Drosophila melanogaster: one gene and its partner. The protein of the gene in region 1 purifies or fractionates together with the protein of each later gene. This does not show direct contact. Each region holds a gene or a part of one and is shown on either strand. Other genes may lie near its edges. The genes, in order: CLIP-190 and lva.

Region 1 (12,825 bases):
ATTAAAGTACGCATTTCTGTTGAACATTTTAACTTAGCACTTGAGGCTATTCCAAGCGAGACTTAAGTGTTCGGTCCGAGAATTGTGTAAGTGACGTGTTAATTTATTTGACTTTTGCTTTTGCTGTTCTTTTATTGCAAACGAAATAATTAAAAGCACTGAAGTGTAAGCAAAACAATGGGCAAAAATGGTGAACACAAAAAATAGCCACAAAAATGAGGAAAAAGTGATTAAAATTGTTGTTTAATTTTTATTTGTTAAGCATTTGGGCAGCTATTTGATCAAACCAGGAATATATGATCAAAGAAGGAAATGTTAAAAGATGTATTCCTTAGTTTGTTAAAATTGTAATTCCTTAGAAAAAAAAAACAAATTACGTTCTATGGTCCATTCACATTTCTTAATGAACACTTCCATTAAGCTTACGAAAATATTGTAGTCCGTAAATTCATTAGACGCAGAAAAGTATCTCAACAAAGAAAACAAACAAATATGCTGGCCAAAACTAAGCTAACGAAAAAAAAAAAATAGCGAAACAGAAATGAAGGCAATAATGGGTTTGTTTACACGAAAAGCCACAGAAAGACTTTGGTTCACTCAGTTGTGACAATAAATCATTTGAAAAGATTTTCAAGCAAAACAGGTGCAAAATGAAATATCATTTCATAATCGAAAAAAAGAAACCGGGTGCGGACCATAAAAATTAATTAACCAAAGGTGGTTACACCTTTTCCAATTTTTTCTCTTTTCATTACCGATTTGTGTTTAGTCAAAGAAACGGTAATTTAATTGCCGGCGAAGTCAGTGAAAATAAAAATAAAAGGTGCCGCCAGCGGAAAAGCAAAGAAAACCGGCGAAACAATAAATAAAAAAAAATCATTTTCGAGGCGTGTGAAACGCAATTAGGCGGGGAAAATTTACCGCAATTAAATGCTCCTAAATGAGTGTCATACAAAGTGCAATGCAAATTAGCTGGGCGCAAAGGTGCGTATACGTGATCATACAGCATCGCGCATTACTCATACGCCACATATACCACCCACGAAAGGTTGCCCTGTCTATGCCAATAGTTCTAGAACAAATACCAAGCTGAGCTCATTGGGGAGCTTCAAAAGCATATATATATATAAATATCAAATCAAATATAACAAACGGCAACAATAAAATTGTGTAAACAAACCGACTAAATTGAGTTGAATGACGACAGATCATTATTGCCGGTGGCGGGATCCACAGCAAATATATAAAAGTATATAGAATGTGTTCGGAAGTTAGTGTTAAATATATAAAGATATGGGTATGTATCCCAGTTTGACAGATGGGATGATCAGTCTGTCAAGGTGATGCCTTCAAAAGGCTTTATGACATCGCTCCCACACGCCCACAAGTTTTTGCAGGTGGATTGTGTAATCTTTATGTGAATATCTGGTTCTAAATACAAAGTCTCCATATTTGCATTCCATTTGTGTAAGCAGCAGCAGCCGCGAAACTTTTTTAAAATTTACTAATAATCAGCTTTTACGTTTAAACTGTATAAGATGCTTTATTTACTATCCATATTTATTTACCTACAAATGCTGAGTATTACAAATAATAAGCTATATACAAATTTTTACAGATGAATATGAAAAAGAAATATTGAATATAAAAAATATATGGGTAAACGTATTCATATTTTTTCAAGCCCTAATCATTCTAAAAAAATATCTTTAACAGATATGGTAATCAGATTTTAGCTCAAATTCCTCCATTTTCAAGTACACATTCCAGCAAGATAACTGGCATCTTGATTCTCTCTTATTTCGGGAAAAATCAACATCTTAAATGAGTAACAATTTCACTACCTAGCGAAATAATGTGAGAATCTCACCGGTCAGTTCTAATTCAAAGATAGCGTGGCAACAGCAAAAGTTGAAGAGTTTTGGGCTGGCAATGTCGCAGTCAGTGGAAGTGTGAATGGAATCCAAAATAAAAATGTGTTCTCCTTATCAACAACAGAACCAAAATAATAATAACAGCTGATAAAATACCAGTTAGCAATAACAATGCCAAGGCAAATGACAGCAAGCAACTTGGCCTGGTCCAAAATGACTCAAACAATTGAGCGACAAAATGTGCGTTATACGAACGGAACGTGGCAGTGAAAAGAAAGCCACAAAACGGAAAGAAAGTTAGCTGCAGACAACTAAATAAAAAAATTGAAATTTGCATATGGTGTTGGCCGCCAGTGGAAGCCCAGTAGATTTGGCAATAAGACGTCAACGCCGAGCCCCAAAAACCACAAACAAACACAGAAAAAAAAAGCAAATTGCACTAAAAATCAAAGTCTTAGGCAATATGCAAATATTGCCGCTGTGAAAGTCATTCCATTTCGCATATATATGTACGTATTTTTAGACCGATCAACGTTTGTGTCTCTTTCAGTCAAAATACGAATCAGCAATAGCAAATTTGTATATCTAATTAGCGGTTAACCGCAACTTTTCAATACAATCCGCAACCGAACTTTGTTATTGCCGTTTCGGCAAATAAACTTTTGTTGTCGCTTAGAGTTTATCGTAGATATCGGAGATATAGAATGCCTTAAGGTTATCTCGGCGATTTAGCCGACATTTCAATGAGAGAGAGGTTGGGGACACGTGCTCACAGCCCATTTACAAGTTTTTGTGCGTCAATTTACTTATGTAAGTACTTGCAAACAGGAAAATGCGGATGCCAGCGGAAAATCCGTAATTAGCTACGATCTCAGTACACCGGCAATGGCTAATGGAAAGGCCCAAAAGTACAAATGCCAAGGCCCACACCCAGCCTTTGAAGTCGTTTCTTCTGATAATTATCAAGTTTTATTTTTATGCGCTTTAAATACACCTATTATATTTAAAAAACCAAGGCTTTCTGATAAAATCTAGTCCAAAACAGGAATAAAACTATTCATTGACCGAAATATCGCTGTCATTAAATTGTGCAGTCATAAATGGGCCAAGCCCAACAAAATCGGTTAAATGATAAGGATCTAAGCATGTTATAATTTAGAACAGAGATATCAATTAACGCTGTATCTTATCTTTAAACTCAATAAAACCACATTAAACAAAAAAATTGGAAAATTTCTAGGTTTGTCTAAGACACGAAATTAAATAAATATTTATGAGGCCACAACCAAAGCAAAGTTTCACATAGGAACAAAAGAATAAATTTGATTAACAATTGGTTATCAACCAGACCAAGCCAAGGTCAAAGGCTGTCGCCAGAAATATGAAAAACGAAAAGTTTCCAAAAATATCTTGCACTGCAGTAAACTCGAATCCTTTTAGGGCATCGACAAGGACGTAGAAAAAGGTTCACATAACTTATGCCTTTACAGTTCTTTTTTAAAAGCCTTATATTTTAATTGGAAATTTCCAATTTAAATAACGACATTCGTAATTTGCTGGCACACCAAATCACCTTTTGTGAGTTGTATAACAATAAGTAAGTCTCTCTGTTAAAGTTGGCTTCTATTTTGGATTTTCAATTTCGTTTGCGTGTTCACTATATAAGCTATAGTATAGAGCCGATCAAGTTCAATTGGTTGCCATCTGAGTTGCAATTCCGCGTCTGAAACACGTCCGCCTCGCGAAAAGTCGTTCAAGTAACTGAACGTCGAGAGCCAATCGCGAAGCGAAGTCAGCGCAAACTTTGAGATACTTTTTTTTCGCAGCGAGAGAGCGGCGAAGCCGATTGCCAATCCGGTGCCGAAGCTTTGTTGGCCAGAGTTTAATAGCAGACACTGTGGCAATAGCTCCGCACTCTCGGTGTTTTTATTGAATAAACGTCGCGTAAAAATAAGAGCCGTAAAAAAATGTTTTTATTTTCGACTTTTGCACGGACACGCAAAGTGAGTTAATCCGGCAAACAAAGAATTGCCACATGGCTGCAATTTTATTTTCCCTTTCTTCGATACCATATGGATCGATCGCTCAATGGTTTTTAGCACTCTAATCACAAGTGCAGTAAATGCATGAAAATAACTAAGCAAGAGTTCGAAAAAATGGAATTTCACTTTTTGGGTTTTTTTAACAATCCATATTGGCTTTGAAAACTCTAAAAAATATGTTCTTGTTGTATTCAATAATTAATAGGCAAATATGTTTTGGATTTCGACTTGGAAGAAATCTTATGTGACCTTATATATTTCATAAAATATAAATATTTATAAGCAGTGAAATTTATTATAAAAAAGTATGTAAGTTTTGGAAAATTATTATTTTTTCTTTAAAGATGTTTGAAGTGGCTATTGAAAGATTCGATAAAGTTTTTAAACGCCGGGTTGTGTCTAATTATATATAAAGTTTACACGTAGGAAAACAATTTAAGAATTGCTTGACGAGATTGTAACAATGAATTCCAGAGACTAAATGCCAGTTAATCAGAATCAATTATCTTTAGATTCATCTATGAATCAGCTTTTAAGACAATGCACAAAAAAGCGCATTGAAATATTGAAACACGTATTTAATAAAATTTTCTAAACTATAACAAATACATAACTTATCAAATCGAATATGTATATATATTCCTTTTAAGAGAAGATACTGTTTTCTGTTGGCTGAAACCCGAGACGTTTTCAGCTTAAATATGCAACACGTGTCTTCAATTATAAAGATTTCAACGACTTAATGATGTGAAGTCAAATAAGTGAGACAAAAAGTGGTTAATCATAACATCAATATTGACTCTCCCACGGAGTCGGTGATGTAAACAGAACTGGGCTCAATCTAGAATCGAATGGAGTAATCCCCCGCCAGACGATGCTCATCCATTGGACGTCAATCCCGAACGCGTTTTCGATTCAATCTTAATGCGAAGACAAATGAGCTTTCCGTTTTTATGGGTGGGAGAGAGGCTCACTTCACTTTTGTTTCCGATCGAAACCAATAAAAGTGACATAAGCTCATCCACGAGCACCACGACCGCAATTTTCATATCAGATCGACTGAGAACGGAACCCGGCATCAAATGCGCAGCGCAAAAACACCTCAAAAGATCTGAGCTCACGAACAAGCTAGAAGATACGTTTTGAGTACGTTTTCTGTGTCATCGCCAGAACAAATTCAATTAGGGAACGACGACGTAGAGATAGATTGCCGGCCGGTCGCCAGGTTTTCTCGGTCGCATTTGAGCTGAGTAGATTTTCGCAGACTTTTGGCATTGAGTATGGCGGGCCAAATGACGGGTCTCTTGGCAGATAGTCAAACAGTCCGTTCCAGAATGCTAGGAGAGATTTTAGAAAGCTGATCTGGGCAGCGGATCAAGGCGCTCAGGCGCTTGGAACGGATTTGGTTTTAAGCAGCGCGTCGCATAAACTACTAATTGACTAAAGTAGTTCAACTATTTGGGACATGCGGTATATCACTTCGTTTTCGTTAATAATTGGCAAAATGCGGAATAATCTCTTTGATATGGCGATCAACACTGGCGTATTTGAAACAAATCAGCGTAGAAATTTAAATGTACTAAAGCAAAAAATTCGGAGCTATCAAAACAAACTGGACTTTCATTGAGCCAAGCAAACAGCTTAATTTCTGAAATAGGTTTAATAATTATGTGCAATAAACGACCAATAAACGATTTTAAAAATAATGTATAAATGGGCAAACAAACTAGTTACAAAACCAATCTAATACAAAGTGATAATCTAAATGATCACAGTGCACATAGCGCCGTGTAAACTATTTCTATGGATGCAAATTAAATACACCTCGTGACTCAGTTTTTTCTGTAACCCTAAACATTACAAATTTTTGTGTTTTTGGGTAAATTTACAGGGAATAAATTTCTACGATTTTGCGGTTGCATTGCGACTGTCAATCGGATATGGAACGTGTGTGCCGGCGAAATAGAAAACCCGTCAATCGATCCATGGATCGTTTGGCAGATCGTTTGCTATATGGGCCAGTGGGTCGTCGTATGTTGACGACTGCGGTGCGGTTACGTGCCTGAAATGAGCCACATTGGGCGGATCAATTAAATGGTAGCAGCACTTGCCTAATTGGCCATAATTCTCCTTACCAAAAACACTTTTCGGGGCAGCTCTATAATTATGATCGAGAGTTAAGAGTGGGCGGCAATTTGTTTTGTTTATTTTTGAATTGTGCGTTGGTGTTTCAAAACGATTAAATAATTGAAAGAAGTGAAGCATTTGTTTACCAAACGAAACAGTTGACGCTGGGAATTATTAATGGTTTCTCTTTAGAGAAGAATTTACACTAACTACGCGAGTTCTCGCCGAAATAATTGCAAGTTCAATGTAGTGCAAAAAGTGCACTCAAATGGGGTGGGGTCAGCGTATATGTATGTATATATTTAGCAAGTGAGTGGGTCTGTCATCGTTTCCATTAGATCATTGCATTCGCTTATAGTATACAGCAATCTACATCTTGTGGGTGCACATATATATATGTAGGCGGATGCTTGACTTGCTTGAGCCAAAGATGCAAACACAAAAGTAGTCAAATCTCGGGTATTGAGGGTAGAGAGTAAGTAAACTTGATGAAATGACCCCTTTACAATGTCAAACTTAAAAGTGCATTATTTAAACTCACCATTCTTTTTGGGTTTCTGTTTTCCCATTTGAATGTGGGTACATTTTTTAATATTAACCTTCATGAGTACTTGGTGATAGTATAGTGGTGGGCTATACTATTGAAACATATTTTACTGCGATATTTTCCGGAGAGCAATTCAATTATCAGACTTCTTCCAACTGTTTTATAAGTGAAGAACTCGCGTATAAAAGTGGAAATCGGTAAAAACCCCTTTTCTTGAATTGTGAAATTAATGTTCTTTGTTAAGATGTTAATATGTATGTGACAATGCACTGACAAGATTTTCAAAGGGGCTCTGGTTGAATTCCCATTGGTGTTCAGATGTGTTTTAATTTCATCTTGCTTTAAATTCTAGCTTGTAAAATGGATGATAATTAAACCCAGGGGATAATTAAGACCTTTAACTACTTTCAAAAATACTGCTCTTAGTAACATATTTGCTTTGAGCAATAATACTAACTGGTTTGCGTTGTTGCACAATGCGATTAGACTTACCTCTTGGTGGTGGACCGGATTTGGGAGTTGTGTGATTGCAGCACGGTCTTCCGATTTTGGAAACAGAACCCGTCGATCCAAAACTAGATGGTGCCTTCATTTTGCTGGGCTGCGGGATTCCGGTACCAGAAGTAGCGGGCGTGGGAATATTGGATCTGATGGGACCCGGTAATTTGGAGGCAGTGGCTCCTGGTTCCGGGTCCGCAGTAACTGGCGATGGAAAAGGGGCACTTGTCCCGCCCGAAGCGCTCGTATCATCACTCATTTTTTACTTTATTCTTAATAATCTTCACTTATTAGGACACACGCGTATTAAAAGTAAACGATTTAAAAAACTTGGGGGAAAAACAAGTGCAAAAGAATAATTTTTGGTAAAATAAATGGAATGCTGATCACTTACCTTAACAAATATATGTATAATTCGCTTAATTTGCTTTTATTTTATATTTTTGCTACAAAAATAAATGGATTTTTTTTATTTTTAGCTAGGTTTTGAACCACTGTTCCACTTTTGTTGTTGCTTTATTTTGGCGCGCAGGCAGCTATCTCACTCGCACTTAGGCGGCTGCTTTAAAACAGCTGACTGAGAGCAGATTTCTTTTCTTCTTTTTTTCGTTGAGCTTGAAAAACAAACAAGACCGCTTTTTGTTGTTGCTCTCGTTGGCCAGAACTTCGTTATATTTTCAAAAAATGCGGAACACAAATATGTATTGAATTAATTTTATGCGACTAACAAAATCACTCAAGGGTATTCTATTTATATAAATTCGTAACTTTTTATTTATAATTTTGTGTTGGGCTGCTTGCGCTGATATTCATCAGACTTAAACAAGATTAAATTGAATCAAATTGCTTATCAATTTGTGCATTTCACACACACACACACGCACGCTGTAGCTCTGTTCTATATTTTATTGTTGCTGCTGATTTGACACAGTTATAGAAGAGGGAACCATTAGAAGAGGGTGGGAAAAGGGACGCGAAAACGCACTCTTATTGGTGTGTGTTTACCGCACACACACACAGTACTTAAATAAACTGGAGTGCTTTACATACTGTGCTGTGCGAATACGATTTAGAAATATACGCGATTGGGATTTTACAATTTTACACAAATTTTAGATTTTTTTTGCACTTAGTTGGCGTTGCGTTGGAATTTTGTTGTTGCACTGAGTTAGCGATGGTAGCACAGCTCCAGTGCAGCGCGCCAATCGATAGTTGCGGCTATATTTTCCCGAGGTATTTTTAGAGTAATGCGGTCATACAAAAACACCCTGTAGGAAATTGGCGAATATTTATTCGTGAATATAAATATGTAAAATATGAAATTATGTCACCAATAATGGAAGCGTCGCTGAGCTTATTCAGATTTGTGATCTGAGCCCACACAACTGACAAATTAACGAATTTATAATTTAGTCTAACATGGTTTTTTAATATTCAACCAGTTTATTGCCGGGTTCCAATACCAGGTTACCTGGTCATTTGTTCATTTTTTCTTTAAGTAGTTATATGAAATGTTTCGGTGTAATAACGACTCAGTAATCTAATAATGCCCTAAATTTGAAGGGGCAAATGCTAAACGGTAGATCATTCTGAATAAACAAACATTACATTACATTATAAAATGTAAGATTGTTGACATTTCGAATTGCGATAAAAATGGAGCCAGTGTATCATCGGCGCACTGTGGTATTTTATCGATAGTACTCAAAGGCACGCCGATTTTAAACTAACAGCAACGTTTCCAGCGCTGCCCAAGTAGCATCCCATAAACCGATTCAGTTGTTTTTCGATTTTCGTTGTGCACTGTCGCTCGTCTGCTGCGTGAGCTTGTGCGTGTGTGAGTGCGCGTGTGTGCGAGGAGGCAAAGAAGAGGAAGCAAGAAGGAAGCCGCAAAAGGAAAATCCAATTCCGAGAAATCTTATCAATGAGCCAAGAAGACGTACACTAAATGAAAAATAATCGAGATGCGTGCGTTTCAATAGAGCAAATTTAGTTTCCAGTTTCGGTTTCTTTCGGCACTTCACTCCGTTTCCTTATCGGTGTGATAGTTTAGCGCGTGCGTGTGTGTGTGCAAGTGTGTGGAAGTGTCGCCACGCCTACACGGGAAATGGCAGCAACGGTTTACCAACGCCTACATAGCGTCGCAGTCGGCGTCGGCAGCGCCGCTGGCAGCGCCATCGGCAGCGGGTCGGCTTCCCTTCCAGGATCTGGAACAGGATCGGGATCTGGAATAGGCCACGCTGGAAACACCTCCTCCTCCACCTCGTCTGCCCTGCTTAGTCATTCCCAGCTGACGCGCTCCCTGGAAAGAATCCTGGAAGAAGCGCACTTCAGCGGCGAACTGATCCTGACCAATCGCAAGCTGAAGGACTTTCCCAGGACTGGAACGAAGTACTCACTTACCGACACTGTCATCGCAGGTGCGTACCGCTATTGTATAGTGTATATTCGTAAGGGAGAACAAAGAAAAGGTGTTCTTCAAGCCGGTTTCGTAGCTCCGGAAAAAATTGGGTTTTCATTACTTCCTAAGTAAAGTTTAAACTGTTCTTAATAATACTTAATGTACGAAGTTAATAACATTTTATTGGAAAAAGCATACATTTTTATATTACAAAGTTAAATGGTATTAAAGTTGATTAGAAAATTGTTAGTTATAAAGTTTTCTTTTGACGTCAGAAAAAGTAAAAGTAGAGTTTACATATGTACAAGTACTGATAAAGCAATTAAATTAGTTGCTTATCGAAAATGTTTGGCGTATGTGTATACCTTTAGGGTGCGGCATTTAAGCAAAGGAGGTTTGTTGCCGGTGAGCTAACGAAGTTTTTCCATCTCCATTGCAGTGGCGAATTTTCCTTTTGTTGCTTGAAAATCAATAATTTGCAGCAGCCGTCGGAGGTTCATCCTTTTCCTCCTTTTCTGTCCTCCCATCAGCTGCTCTTTCTCTCTGCGGCTCTCCCATTCTCTCCCTTTTCGGACTGCGCTCAAGGACAATAATTACCGCCGTTATTCGCTCTTCGCCACTTTGCACTATTCGTGTTATCCTTATTTATTTTTATTTTCGCCGCAGCCGGCACGAAAATTTTGTCGAAGTTCAACCAACTTTCGTTTTTGTTAGGACCAAAAAATATGCACCAGCGGAGAAATAGTAAATGGGAAATACCCACCCAGAAAATTCACCGCCCTCTCGCAGGACCCCGCCCCCTCTCACAGCTGCTGCTACCCTCGAACAGATGTTCTCACAACGGGACATGTCTCTCATCGATTTTCACTTGTGTTTGTTGTATACACATACAGTAAACGCTCTGAAAGGCGAAAGGATACGTAGATAAGGTTAGTTGTCATTCTAATCGCTGAAAAAGCGAGATATGGCAATTTTCCATCTAACAATACTTCACAGATCGAAGATTATGTTCATTGAAACGAGACAGATTATAAACTACAAAATTATTTTAGTTTATTTCTTTTAATTACTTACACAAAGTAAATTCCAACTATGAGATGTTATTATTAATTTTAAGACTTATTATGAACGTGGAATGTCACCTTTCAGAGGACGCACTGTATTTTGATGTATTTTCGGTGGAAATGTCTGGAATAGAAGGAAACTTTTTATTTTTGGACTGCGAAGATTAATTGCCGTGGAAGAGAGATAAAAATAAATTGTGTCATAAATTGAAAACTAATTTGGTAAAAGAATAGGGAAAGAATTCAATAAAAATTCCACTTAGCCAGTGCCTTGGATGATGGATAATACCGGAATTGAAGAGCAACAAAAATAAACAAAATTCTCAGTTTGTCTACCATTAATTCAATTAAAATTACATTTTTATAAAGCAAACATAAATTGACTAATTAATGAAACTGAATTGAACAATGCACTTCGATATTGAAAAGAGTACGTAACAAATTTCGGAAGGTTTCAATTAAATTTAGGATACTAGAAGTGTTTAAAGAGATAAAACTTAATCTCCCCCTAACCTAGGAAACATATTTTTAATTTCCTTCCAATCCACTCCGCTCCCCGTTTTCCGCCTACGTGACTTGATTTTCGAATTAAGCTGTGACAATCCGTGACTTATGGCCACGCGCTATTTGTTCGAAATGGGGAAACGATCCCTTCTTCTTTGGAAAACCCTTCCCCACATGGAGAGCCAACGAGCTTCCGGTTTTTCGTTCATTTTCGAATAAGTTTCATGCGTTTTCTCACCAGCAATTGAGTCATCGACTGCGAAGGCGTGACTAATTACTAATTAAAATGCTGGATTTTTGGTGTGAATGGACATGTGGAAAATAGAAAACAGGGGGAATATTGAGATACGCTGAACCTCTCGTTAGGGGTTAATCTTTGGGGAAAATATTTGTAAATACACCCTAGCGAAGAACCTCTACAAATTGCCTCTTCGAGAACAATGAAGCCACCCTCGGCGAAGGGTTTTCGCAAGTGGGGGCGGTGGACTTTAAGAGGTGGCAACGGCTCTTAGCCTTAATGGCTTGCAACCACAAGGGTTTCGAGTTTCCAAGAAATCGATGATTCTAAAGCAAAAGAAAGTCAAAGAAACTGAAACAGAAAAAATGTGGGAGGGGGGGGGGGTGTATACACCGACCATTTTTCTTTTTTCTTTATTTGCACGCATGCCATTTGCAACCCCCGAAATGGCATGAAATTAAGGGGAATGGGCAGGCGCCTGTCAGCATTTCCTAAAATCATTTGTTGTTGCGGTGTGGGTGGGAGGTAGCCACACTTTTGTGCATTCCTTTGGGGCGTTTAATTAACACGCGTGTCACGCAAATCAAACAGAACCATAAACAAAAACCTAGACAAAGGACGGCACAAGAAAGAGTCAATCGAGTGAAGCGAAAAATCAACAGCAGGAAATTGTTTAAAGTAATTGCATCGAGAAGGAAAAAGCGCAAAACGGGTACAAAATTGCAGCTGGCCTCAGCAGAAATTGTGAGAAGAGAAGCCCAAGCAAATGCAAGAAGGTAGCAACAGCAGCAGCAGCGGCAGCAACATGCAGCAGCAACTTCAACTCGCAGCAGCAACAGCAGCTGCGCAGACCGCAAAGTTGGCGCCGGCTTAGGAATCAGCAGCTGACAAAGGTGCTGCCCACTTGGACTTTTTATAGCCATAAACAGGGAGTTTAGCGAAAACTGTTTCAGAATATAACAAACTCACTCAAAATAAATATATATATATGTATGGAAATGTAGCAGCAATGATCGTCTGGTGTCCTTCGTTACTGAGCGGTTTAACAGTGGCGCTCCCTTGGATATTTTATAGCCATAAAAAGGCCGTTTAGAATCTTTTGGATCAATTTGTCACAAAAAAAGGAATCCCCTGGTGTCCATCGTTACTAAGTGGATCCACAGTGTCATACTATAAAAAAGCAGTTTCGTTTCCTTACTTGTCCATTTAGCTTCGATTTGTTTAAAAATACCGATAAACAATATTAAGCTCTGGCAAAGTTTGAATTTTTAATAATATTTATTTATTTAATAACAAAACTGTAATTGCAGCCTGGTAACTGTTACGAAATTGAGAGGTTCATATTTTACGTCAAAACAATAATTCATATCATTAATAGCAAGCAGGGGTTCATAAGCTTTTTTAGTATACACTTGGATTGCATTTTCTTTTAGTCACAATACTCTTTTTTCCAGACTGAACAAAACGTCTGCCAAGTGACCGAGAACAAGAAATCTTTTCTGTTTGGGGAAGTCAAAGTACCGGCAAACA
Region 2 (12,196 bases), on another chromosome or scaffold:
GTCAAAGAGGCCCGGGTGAAGGTCATCTACACTGGCGGCACCATCGGCATGGTGCGCAACGAGCGGAATGGTAAGCAGCCCAGAATGTCACGAATACGAGGATTCATTGGGATTGCCCGAATCTGTCCATGTAGATAAGATCCCACTTTTACTAACAAGGGGAGTCTTAGAAAATGGCCAGATATGATAAGAGCAATGCACTTGAAAACATTTTATTCGAATAATATGTATGAAAGTTGAAATTGTTGGTATGAATGTAAACAAAACAAATCAATTGGCAGTCAACAGATTGTTGATGCTTCTATTTAAATATTGACTATTTGCTTGCTATTTATTGAGTGGTCTAATTAGGTATTTTAGTAAACATTTGACACACGAAGCGTGACCATAAATCATCATCTTGATTAGGAAACTAATTTGTCACGGAGTTTGTGACTATCAATATTAATATTCTATAATTATCGCAGTGTTAGCTCCCATTCCCAATGCCCTGGTGCGCAGCATCCGCAAATATCCAAACATCCACGATGAGGAGTACGCGCTGCGCCGCTTTGGAGCATCTGCATCGATGGCTCCACTGGTGCTGCCCATTGTGCAGGGCGTAGATCGCCGGGTTATCTACCAGATCTCGGAATATACACCGCTGCTGGACAGCAGCAATATGACGATGAACGATTGGGCGCGAATCGCCAGCGATATTCAGGTACATACATATATATATATATGAAAGGTAATATTAATCCTTTCCAAATTATTGTCTAGCAATCGTACGAGTTCTTCGATGGCTTTGTGGTGCTCCATGGCACCGACACGCTTTCCTACACCGCATCTGCATTGTCTTTCATGTTGGAAAATTTGGGCAAGACGGTGATCATCACGGGCTCCCAAATACCCATCTTTGAGACGCGAACCGATGGCAAGGACAATTTTACGTCAGCCTTGATCATAGCCGGTAACTACATCATTCCGGAGGTTTGCATCTTCTTTGGCCATAAGTTGATGCGCGGCAATCGGACGGTGAAGGTCAGTTCGAATGCCTTAGACGCGTTCGACTCACCGAATGTTCCACCACTGGCCAGGATCGGCATTGATGTGAACGTCGACTACCGCCTGATATTCCGGCCATGCACTATTGAAAGGTTTTGCGTACACTTGAATCTCGACGAGAACGTCGGCTTGCTGCGAATCTTTCCGAGCATTTCGCACTCCACATTCCGGGCTTTCCTGGCGCCACCGATTCGCGGCGTTGTCCTGCAATCCTTCGGATCTGGAAACATACCATCGAACCGAAAAGATCTCATCGATGAACTGCGTGCGGCTGGTGAACGAGGCGTTATCATCATCAATTGTACACAGTGTCCCAATGGCACAGTGGCGGAGATCTACGATACGGGCAAGGTGCTCTGCGATGTCGGTGTAATTCCCGGTTTCGATATGACGCCCGAGGCGGCGCTGGCCAAGCTGGCCTATGTCATCGGCAAGGAGGAGTGGTCACTCGATATGAAGAAGCAGGTAAGTTTCGACTATAATTCAATACATACATAAATATGGATAATCCACAATGTGTGCATTTCATAGATGATGCAGTCAAGCCTGAGGGGCGAACTGACCTCCTTAAAGGCTCCCAAAATGGAGGACTACGACTTGGTGGACGCAGTGGCACGGTCTCTGCACTTGTCCTCGCCCCAAGAACTGGATCAGCTGGGCGAAACGCTCTTTCCGGCCATGATCAACGCCGCTGTGGCCGAAGGTGATCCCAAGAAGATCAACAACTTGAAAGCCTATGGCGCCGACTTGTCGGGCACAAATCATGACCAGCGAACGGCCCTACACTTGGCTTGTCAGCTGGGAAACGTGGAGATCGTTAAGTACCTACTGCAGAACGGGGTGTCCGTGCACGTGCGTGATCGGTATGACCGCACTCCACTTCTGGAGGCTGTCGCCACCGATAGCCACGAGATCATCCAGTTGCTCATCAACTGTGGTGCTCATTTGACGGGCTCTTCGCGAGCGGTGGGCGAGCAATTGTGCGCGGCCGCTGCTAGGGGATCGATGATCAGATTGAAGTCCTATCAATACGCCGGTGCCGATCTTGCCCAGTCGGATCCTTCGGGCAGGACGGCCTTGCACGTGGCAGCACTGCACGGATTTCCGGAGGTGGTGCAATACGTCCTGCCCTATTTCGAGAATCCGAACGAGAAGGACATGCTCGGCCTGACCGCCATGGATTATGCGGAGCGCGGCGGACACGCAGCGGTTATGGAGGTCCTAAAATCATAGAAATCTCTTCCGAACCATACATACCTCGTTCCTTGTTCCTGCAGCATGAAGAAAAAAACAAACACTGGAGGCTAGGGTTATTTCTTTTGTACTTAAGTGTTGCATCTAGTCTAATGGTTCCTTATTATCAGTTTTGCATAACTCGCATATTAACGATGTTGTCGTGGTAGTTTTTATTATTAAGTGTCGAATCCCTGACCTGTTTTTAAGTAGTCCTTATTTACTAATGTATCCATTGTATGCAATAATATTATTAGCCAAAACCAAAAATTAACCAATCATGTCTAAAATTAAGCATCAGACATATTAAACGGTTGTATAACAAGTTATATACACAAACTAGTATAATTTGTTGTATGAAAATAAATAAAATCAATTTGAAATTAATGCAAAATTTTTGAATTAGTTTGTAATCGATTGATTGATTACGAGCGCAAGTGCTATCGAGCCATCTGTCATTCGATAACTTACCAGGGCTTTGTGACCCTATTCAGTTGTTGCGCAGCCCTGGTATCGAATTGTTTTTACGCTGGCATTAATTAGAATTGGTAAATATACATCTGTCAGCGTGCACATAAGAAAGCTCTTACGTTGCAATCTAGTGCTTAGTGGCTTGTAACTCAGAAACCAGGCGAAAATCGACACAAGCGCTGGAAAAACAGCAAACAAAACACACACACAGCCCCACTCGCACACACACAGCCGCACACACACGCACACATCTATAGAGAGGTGCACACGTCAGTGCCACGAATTCCATAAAATAAAAAGAACAACAAGAAACGCAAATTCAAAGCTAAAGACAATTCTAGCCGATCGGAAGCGGATGATATATGTTAGCTATATGGTAAACCCTCTCTCGTTGCAGTCAATGTCGATAGCTAGCGCTGCGCAGCCACCGTGGATATATAATCGGTCCTTCAGATAGCCAGTCCGCATATATATTCCCGATTCCCCCGATTTGTGTTTTTGTTTGTTTTTGGTTTTTTTTTTTTTTTTGTTATTGCTGCTGCATTTGGTCCGGTACGCTAGGATAGTTAGTAATATTTTGTAATTGAAACGACAATGGCGGAAGATTCGGGTGCTTTGGAGAGCTCCTACGACTTCTCCATCGTTCAGGTGGGTTTCACTTGGTGTTCCCTGTACGTACATGCGTCCATACTGATCATGACCACTTGCAGCCCGACGATCACGAATATGGCGAGGCGGATATACGCTTAGCGGGCAGCTCCAACGATCTGTCCTCGTTACAGGTGGGTAAATCTGAACAAATCCCCCAAGTGAAGCAGGATTCAATATTATCTGTTGAATCTACCCTACAGAATGTATCCGCCAGCACAACGAGAGGCACCAAAGGCAAGGGCCGTTTGGATAGCCTTAAAGAGAATCTGTACAAGCAGCAGGTGAGTTAGGCGCTGTGAATCAAGTGGTTCATATCATTAAATGACTCGAAATGATTGCTTTCAGGAGCGCCTCACTGCCTTAAAAGAACGCGCCTTAAGGAAATCCCAGGATGAGCGACACAAGTCCAGCATGAGTGACTCCATGGAGTCGCTTAAGACACTGGGTCAGAAGCTCACCGTGTTGAAGACGCGCTCCGGCGACTCCTCCACTCCACTGGTCTCACCCACAAAGGACAGCGACCCCGGTGATGTCTCTTTACTCCAAACCAGTGGCAGCGAGAAGCTTCTGATGCTCACACAGCGCACGGAACAAAATCGTGCTTTGTTGGAGCAGCGCAAGAGGGATCTGGCCAAGTCTCTTCTTTCTGTAAAGTCGAATATTGGCCACCAAACGACCGCCGAGCTGGGCTCTTCCATGACGGACCTACGACACGCGGCGTCTGTCTCCAATCCACCCGTATCCCGCCATCGTTCTGCCTTGGACTTGGAGGCCCAGGGTCAGGAGGCGGTGGACGAAAGCCGGGTGAAGTTGCTCAGGAGTCGTATGAAGTTGACGGAACTCAAGCAGGGCCGGCAGGAACAGGAGCTAAATGAATTGCGTACAGAACTGGCCAAGCGCGCTAAACTCATCGAGCGATTGGAACTATCCGGTGCGGAATTACAGCGCACGCTCACCCAGCGAAACGAGGAGTTAGAGCAATTGCGTGTGGTCCAGGCAGAAGAGGATAGCCTGAAGGTGCAGGAAAACTCTCGCCTCCAGGGCGAAGTTTTAGTCTTAAGAGAACGACTAGCAGAGCTGGAAAACGTCAACGACCTGTTAGAAACGACGCGCTGTGAACTTCAGGAAGAGCTGACCACGGCGCGCGAAAGACAGCGTAATCTGGAGTTGGAACAAGAGCAGGAAAAGGCTTCCCGCAGTCCGCAATCGGAAGCAGCGCATACCGATGCACAGGTGAGCGCGGAGCTAGCCAAACAGCTCCAGGAGCTTACCAACCAGCTGGCTGATCTACAGGCAACTAATGAGGAGTTGCGTCAGCAAGTTGCTGCCCAGGCGAAGCTCCAGGTGACCGATGAGATTGTTTCCCAGCGCCTTGAGGAACTGGAAGCCACCATAGCGGCGCAGCTTCTAGAGCTGCAGGAACAGAAGTCGGCAATGGCTGCCCAAAACGAAGAACTCGCAGAAAAGACAACGGAACTCAATGTGCTCAATGTGAATCTGCGTCTCCTTGAGGAGAAACTCGCGCAAAGCAGTCGCAGTAAGCCCCTATTTCTGGAGGACCATTCGGAGGACAGTGCCGCCAGCAAGCAGATGCAGGAGGATCTGCAGCAGCTGAAGCTAAAGCTGGACGAAACTAACAAGGCCAACATAAAGCTAAAGCTGAAATGCAAGCAGGCGGAAAAGAAGCTGCAGAAATTCCAATCCCAAGATGGCCAACAGCAGTTGGCTTCACTGTTGGCTGATAACGAGGAACTGCAGCAAAGGATCGCCGTCCTCGAGGACGAGAAGGGTCAATGGCAGTTGGCCAACATGCAAGAGGACGACCGCCAGCCAGAGCAATCGACGGAGTCCAATAATCCACTGCAGCTGGAAACAATTCGTTTGCTGGAAGAGCAGAAATTGGAATTGCAACAGGCCCTAGAGGCCTTACTCAGTTCATCCAGTTCTGCGGAATCCATTGAAATAGTGGAGCGTCATCACTTAGAGTGCCTAGGCCAACGACGTCCGGCCAGCGAGGGCGACGCCCAGGAGCAGAAGCAAGTGCATCCACCAGGGCCAAGTCACGTCAGCGAGCTCACTCAGACGGAGCAAACTGAGGAGGAGGATTCCTCTGGCGAAACTCTTTCCCAGCTTAGAGAACGTCTCGAACTTTTCACCCAGGAGCGCGGAGAGGTATTGGACAAGCTGGAGCAACTGTCGGCCGAGAATTTGCAACTCCAGGCAAGATTGGAGGAAAGTTCAAGTTCTCTTCAGCTGTTGCAGCGTGAACGTGAGAAGGATCTGATCTCCTCCACGTCCACTTCATCCAATCTCTCGCAGGAACTCAGTTCAATGCAACGCTCCTCCGAAGTTGTCGCAACACTGGACGCCGGCGAAGGAGGCCCCGTGCTCTTTGAGAAATGCGAGAAATCCCTGAGCAAACTCAACTCTGAATTGGAGGCCTATCGCAAGGCCAACGATAGGCAGGCCAAGTTCAATGTGTCCAAGAAACTGGCCAAGGAGGCCAAGAACTGTCACACCCAATTGAGTGAGCTTCTCCACAAGGTTAAGGAAGCGAGCACGGCGGTAGAAACTGTTACCGTTGTGGAGACCGTGGTGGCCGTGACCGCTCCCAACGGAAAAGCTCTTGCGGAATATGAGCAGCTAAACGCACAGAACGCGGAACTCAAGGCGGTGATCTCCCGATTGCGCCAGGAATTGGATGAATTGCGGGAAAGCTATCCTGAAACCGAAGCGCCATTGGCCATAGTTGGTTCCGATTCTCAAAGGGAAGATGAAATCCTGCAATTGCAGTCCCAGCTGGAGGACGCACGCTCCTTGCAGGCCGAGCAACGCCAGCAGATCGAGGAGCAGGTAGATCAAATCAAGGAGCTGCGTCAAACCGAAGCAGAACAGCTGCAATTGGTGGCCAGGCAGAGTGCCGAGATCACACAACTCCAGCTGCAATCAGAGCAATTCGATCAGCTGCTCAACTCCAAGGAAATGAGCCATGAGAAGCAACTGGAGCAGCAAACAAGGATTCGTCGAGAGTTAGAGGCCCGAGCCGAATCTCTGGAGGGCGAGCTGAGTATCCTACAGACTCTAGTTGCCGAGCAGAAGCAGCAACTCATTGAGAGTGTCAGCGAAAGCGAGCACGCGCTTAACCTTAAGATGCTGGAATTGCAATCAGCACAAGAGGAGCTGCGCGAATTGAGAGCCAAAGAGGATCCGGATCAGCTCCGAGAGGCTCTGCGCGTTAGCAAAAGTTTAGTTGCCCAGCAGGTCAGAGAGTTGACCTCCAGCCAGGAGACTGTCGATGCCCTGAACCAGCAAATCCAGGAGTATCAAGGATTAGAACATGCCCACAAAGAGGAGCAGTTCAAGAACCGCGAACTGCGCGAGAAACTCAAGAAGTATGCCCTTAACCTCAAGAAACGCACACAGGACAATGCCGATCTCGAGCAGAAGGTCCAGGAACTTACTAGTCAACTTCAAGAACAGCAGGAGCTTGTCAAGCAGAAAGAAGAGGTGGAACGTGAACCCATCGTGGACAACCATCGGGTTGAACAACTGCAGCAACAGGTCAGCAAGCTTAACGAAGACCTTAAGGCCAAGATCCATCTCAACCTGGAAAATCGCGATGCCCTGCGTCAGTTAAAGCAGCAAATACAAGAGCAGGAGCAACTTATCCAAGAACGTGATGCGGAGCTCCAAGATGCCAATCTGGTAAGCAAGGAGTTGCGACGCGAGCGCCAAGAAGCCGATCAGGAAGTCTTTCAACTGGGCCAGGAAAACTCCAGACTCAGGGAAGAAATCTCTAAGCTTCAGGAGGAAATCCATAATCTTGGACAGAGGGTAAACGAAGAGCCCACTGCTGTCGAGGATTTGCGGCGTCAATTAGAGGCCAAATCGAAGAAATTCGAAAAGTCCAAGGAGTTGATAAAGCTTCGCAATGCCACGATTCAATCGCTGCAGCGTGAGTTACAGCAACTGCAGCAGGATCAAGACAGCGAGGTGGAACATGTGCGGAACGCGCGGGCCGCTCACGAGCAACTGCGTTTAGAAAAGGATGCGGAGGTGAGTAATCGATTTTTAGGCATATTTGATGTCGAAGATAATAATCAACCACAACAGATTACTGCCCTCCGACAAGAGATTCTTAAGCTGGAAAGGAGCAGGGCAGCCGGTGAAGGCGATGATACCATTACCAAAACTTCACATCAACTATTGGAATCACAATCGGTGAGATTGAACTTTGAACTTGAACCTCATTTACCTTCTAATGCAACAAATAAAAAAAATTTTTAGCAACAACAAGCGGAATCCCTCCAAGTGGCAGAGAGAGAACTTCAACAGCTTCGTGTCCAGCTTACGGCGGCCCAGGAGCAACACGCTCTGTTGGCGCAACAGTACGCCAGCGATAAGGCAAACTTTGAGATGACCATCGCCCGTCTGGAGACACTTCACGAAGGGATTCAAGCCAAGCTACAGGAGGATGCCTCGTACATTGAGTCGCTGGAGGCTCAGAATACGGAACTGCAGGCCAGAAGCGCTGCTCTTGAGGAACAGGCCGCCAGTCAGGCTAACCAACAAGCGGCGTCCCAAGATAAAGTGCAAATACTGGAGCAACAGTTGAAGGAACAGCGCGAGCAGGAAGAGCAGAAGCGCCAACAGGATCAGCAGCTACAGGAGCGTTTCTATGAGCTTGGACAACGGGAGCAAGCTCAAAGTCGCCAACTTGAGTTGCTCACCAGCGAAGCTGAAGAGAGCAGGCAGCAACTGGCTGGCCTGCGAACGGAGTACGAGTCTCTGCTGGCCAAACACTCGCAACTAACAGCCACCGCCCAGGCAGAAAGGGAACAGATGAGCAGCCACAGCCAGGAGGAGCTGGCCGAACTCCGACAGCAACTGGACGTCAAGGAGGCGGATCTGCACCGTCAGCGGCAGGTTTACGATGCCAAACTGGCAGCCAAGGCCACGGAGCTCGATGAACTCGAATGCGACCTCAATAGCCATGTGGAGCGAGCTGCAGCCGAAACGCGAGAGCTTTGCCAGCAATTGGAGCGGTCCCAAGAGCTGGTGGCCCAACGAACTGAGGAACTACAGCGACTCAACGAAGAGTTCCAGGAGGTGGAACGCGAGAGATCCACTTTGAGTAGGGAAGTGACACTGCTTCGTTTGCAGCATGACAGTGCTGAGCAAGATGTTTTGGAGCTACAGGAACTTCGCATGCAGGCCATGCAGGACAAGACCGAAATGGACAACCTGCGCACTCAGATAGATGCTCTATGCGCCAATCACAGCCAGGAGCTGCAGGCGCTGCAGCAGCGAATCGCTGAGTTGGACACTCTGGGTCAGAATCAAACTGATGATCAGGTCTACATCGAAACGGAGAACAAGCGTTTGGCGGAGCAGCTAAGCGAACTGCAGGCACAACTGGCCAGGCAGCAGCACCAGCAGCAGCAGCAACAGCATCATCATCCTGCTGTACAATCTCAGCAGCATCCTCCACCGGCTTCACTGTTCTTTGGTGGCGATGCTTTGGCCGCCCCCTCGCCCTTCGATGAGATAGCCCAACCACTGAGGGTTTCTTCCCTAGCGGCAAGTGCACCGCCACCTATTTCTCCACCACCTACAATCGAGGATCTTCAGCGAAACGTTTCTGATCTGGAGAAGCATGCACAGGACTTGGAAACGAAGCTGCTGGCGCGAAATCAGAACTTGGCCGAGCAGGAAGAGCGACGTTTGCAGTTGGAGCAGCGTCTTTCGGAAGTAGAGCGCCTGCTAAGCGAACGGACACAGCAGCTGGCCGACATTCAAACGGCAAATGAGGAACGTGATCGCTTGGCGGCACTGGAGAAGCTTATCCAACCGGCGGCAGCGCCTACATTGGACATGTTCTTCGGCGGTCAGGCAGAGGAAACAGTGCCCGATGCTGTTAGTCACCATTTGGATTTGGGTCTGCCCCAAACGGAGCCAGTGGTGGAACCACTGATCCAGCCCAAAAAGGCATATTTGTGCCAGCCAAAGCAGGAAATTCAGGAGCAGACTGCTCAAACCATTGATTGGGGCGTTGACGAGGATCCCTGGGCCAGTGCTGCCAACGAAGCGCCGCAAACCGATGTGGAGCACCTGCACACGAGAATCGCTCAATTAGAGCTGCAGTTGTCCAATGCCGAGCAGCAAAAGACCGAACTACAGACTAAAGCCGCCAAGCTTATGAAGCGTCTGAAGGAATACAAAACGAAGGCAACAACGACCGCCACGCCCACTGTGACAGTGGATAATGATCTGGATTCAACCATTATTGAGGAGCTGAAGCATCAGCTCCAGTTGCAAGAGTCTCGTCTGAGCAAAGCGGAAGAAATTTCACAACAGCACGCCCTGGAAAAAGAGAAGTTAGCGAAACGTATCGATGTTCTGACAGCAGGAAACGATCGTATGGCCGAAATGAAGGAGCGTCAGGACATGGATGTGCAAATGTACCAGGCTCGCATTCGGGAGCTCCAAGAAAAGCTTAGCCAACTAGACCAGTGGGGTGAGCCCGCCGCAACTGTCTCTTCATCCTTAGACGGCGATGAGGCGGCGAGGATTGAGAGCCTACAGCAGGAGATCCAGCAACTGCGCCAACAAGTAAGCGAACTGGAAGATGAGCGCACACGCGACCAAGCCGAATTGGGAGCATTGCGTCAGAGTAGCCAAGGTTACGATGAGGCGGAAGACAACCAAAAATTGGAACTCCAGCAACTGCGCCAACAAGAAAGCGAACTGGAAGCACTGCGCACACGCGATCAATCCGAATTGGAAGCACTGCGTCAGAGTTGTCAGGGTCACGACGAGACGGTAAGGATTGCGACCTTGCAGCAGGACAATCAACAACTAGAGCTCCAGCAGCTGCGCCAAGCAATAATCGAACTGGAAACTCTGCGCGCACGCGATCAAACCGAATTGGAAGCATTGCGTCAGAGTAGCCAGGGTCACGATGAAGCGGCAAGGATTGCAATCGAGCAGCGGGATAATCAACAACTGGAGCTTCAACAGCTGCGCCAACAACTAATCGAACTGGAAGCTCTGCGCGCACGCGATCAAGCCGAATTGGAAGCATTGCGTCAGAGTTGTCAGGGTCAACAACTCTCGGTGGACATGGCCTCCAGAAATGATGAGCAAATGGCTCAACTGCAGGAGAAGGAATCAGAGATTGTGCACCTAAAGCAACGCATCGAAGAGCTTATGCGCGAAGATCAAACGGAGAAGCTTGTCTTCGAGATCCTGACCAAAAATCAAGAGCTACAGTTACTACGCATGCAGGTCAAGCAATTGGAGGAGGACAAGGAAGATCAGCAGGTGTCAGCTGCTCCTCCAAAGGACGACGGGGAGACCGTTGAAAAGCTAAAAAGCCTGTGCCAACAGCTCCAGCAAGAGAAATCGGATATGGAGGAGGAACTGCGTGTGCTTAACAATCATGTTCTTAGCAGCCTAGAGCTGGAGGATAGGATGAAGCAAACGCTGCTCCAGCTGGATACCAAAAACATTGAAATCACCGAGCTGCGCCGTTCTCTAGAAATCTTGCAAAGCCAAAATCTTGGCCAGAATTCCGCTGCAGAGCAAATACCCGATCTGTCAGCTATCAATCAGCAGTGGGAACAGTTGGTGGAGCAAAAGTGCGGCGAGGTGGCCAGCATTTGGCAGGAACATCTCTCTCAAAGGGAAGCCGCCTTCAAGGCGCAACTTGAGGAGGTTACCCAGCAGCAGCAGAGGGAACTGCCCCAGAGTCAGCAGTCCACACAAGGTGAGGCCACCAGCGACATAATGCAAAAGATGCAAAAGGCGCTGGAAACGCAGGAAATGGAGATAGTGACGCTAAAGGAACAGCTGGCCATTCGTTCAGCCGAGTACGCTCGTTTAGCCGCCCAATACGATCCGTTCCGGCTGCAGAATCGTGGTGGAGCCAGTGGGGGCAATCCTGCCTCGACAACAGTCTCAGCTGGTGGACCACCATCCTTAACTGCCAACGAACCACTGCCCGAGTATGTGCTTAAAGCGGATCTAGATTACGCCCTCATGATGCTCCACCAGCGCGACATGCGAGTCGAGGAAATGATTGTGGAACTGGTGCAGTTGCTCGAGGAACGTGATCACCTGCAACTGAAGTTGTCGGACACACTGCGCCAGTTGGAAACTGAGCGGAGTCGCGTTAGCGATGAACGTGAGTCGGATTGCCAATTCTGAGCATTTTTGTTATATATGATCCGATCCAATCCTAATTTTTGTTCTCCTCTATTCCGGAGCAGCAAGTGCCACGGCATCCTCATCAGCCGCCTCGAGCAGCAGTCCCAGTAAAATCAGCAGTGCGGGCAGCAACAGCGAACTTCTGGGCACGACGAGCGCAGCGGGCAGTGACCTCAAGCAGAAGTGAGTGCTGTCCTACAAGATAATGGAGCAAAGGCTTAATGGTTGTTATTGCTCTTTTCAGGCTAGCTGAGTTGCAGACGGTGAAGCATTCCAAGGACAAGGTCATCGTGGACGAGCGCGAGCAGCGCCTGCAGCAGATGCTTCAACTGCAGAAGGACATGGCCAAGCAGGGCTCGGGATCACAATCAGGAGCAGGGGCAGTAGCAGCAGTAGCGGCACCAACATCAGCAGCTCCAACAGCAATAGGCGTGGATCTCTGTGAGTGGATGCTACTGAAGCGTCAGCAAGTGCCATGTACCTAACCGAATCCCCCGACTTCAATTCAAATTTACAGCTCAATCCGGATTGCGTTCGCCATCGATGATGCTCATGGACTGGATACTGGGCAACAACAACAAGGAGG

Evidence for each region.
Region 2: the proteins of CLIP-190 (region 1) and lva purify together in Drosophila melanogaster (affinity purification with western blotting; 2 studies listed by BioGRID, with this or other methods). This does not show direct contact.

Annotation. Positions count from the first base shown.
Region 1 is NT_033779.5:17,380,153-17,392,977, reverse strand, and holds the start of CLIP-190 (cytoplasmic linker protein 190), read right to left. Parts: upstream 7,964-12,825; 5' UTR 7,483-7,963; intron 7,418-7,482; 5' UTR 7,348-7,417; coding exon 7,083-7,347; intron 6,833-7,082; exon of another isoform or gene 6,649-6,832; coding exon of another isoform or gene 6,585-6,648; intron 3,638-6,584; exon of another isoform or gene 3,448-3,637; intron 1-3,447. Other genes in the region: Lrch (Leucine-rich-repeats and calponin homology domain protein), read left to right, coding at 9,196-9,508. UniProt on the Drosophila melanogaster protein: Together CLIP-190 and jar may coordinate the interaction between the actin and microtubule cytoskeleton. May link endocytic vesicles to microtubules. May play a role in formation of furrows during cellularization.
Region 2 is NC_004354.4:3,955,904-3,968,099, reverse strand, and holds the start of lva (lava lamp), read left to right. Parts: upstream 1-2,772; 5' UTR 2,773-3,345; coding exon 3,346-3,399; intron 3,400-3,461; coding exon 3,462-3,533; intron 3,534-3,602; coding exon 3,603-3,683; intron 3,684-3,747; coding exon 3,748-7,458; intron 7,459-7,515; coding exon 7,516-7,623; intron 7,624-7,689; coding exon 7,690-11,587; intron 11,588-11,672; coding exon 11,673-11,793; intron 11,794-11,854; coding exon 11,855-12,051; intron 12,052-12,127; coding exon 12,128-12,196. Other genes in the region: CG6428 (uncharacterized protein), read left to right, coding at 1-70, 468-703, 763-1,512, 1,579-2,280. UniProt on the Drosophila melanogaster protein: Lva and spectrin may form a Golgi-based scaffold that mediates interaction of Golgi bodies with microtubules and facilitates Golgi-derived membrane secretion required for the formation of furrows during cellularization.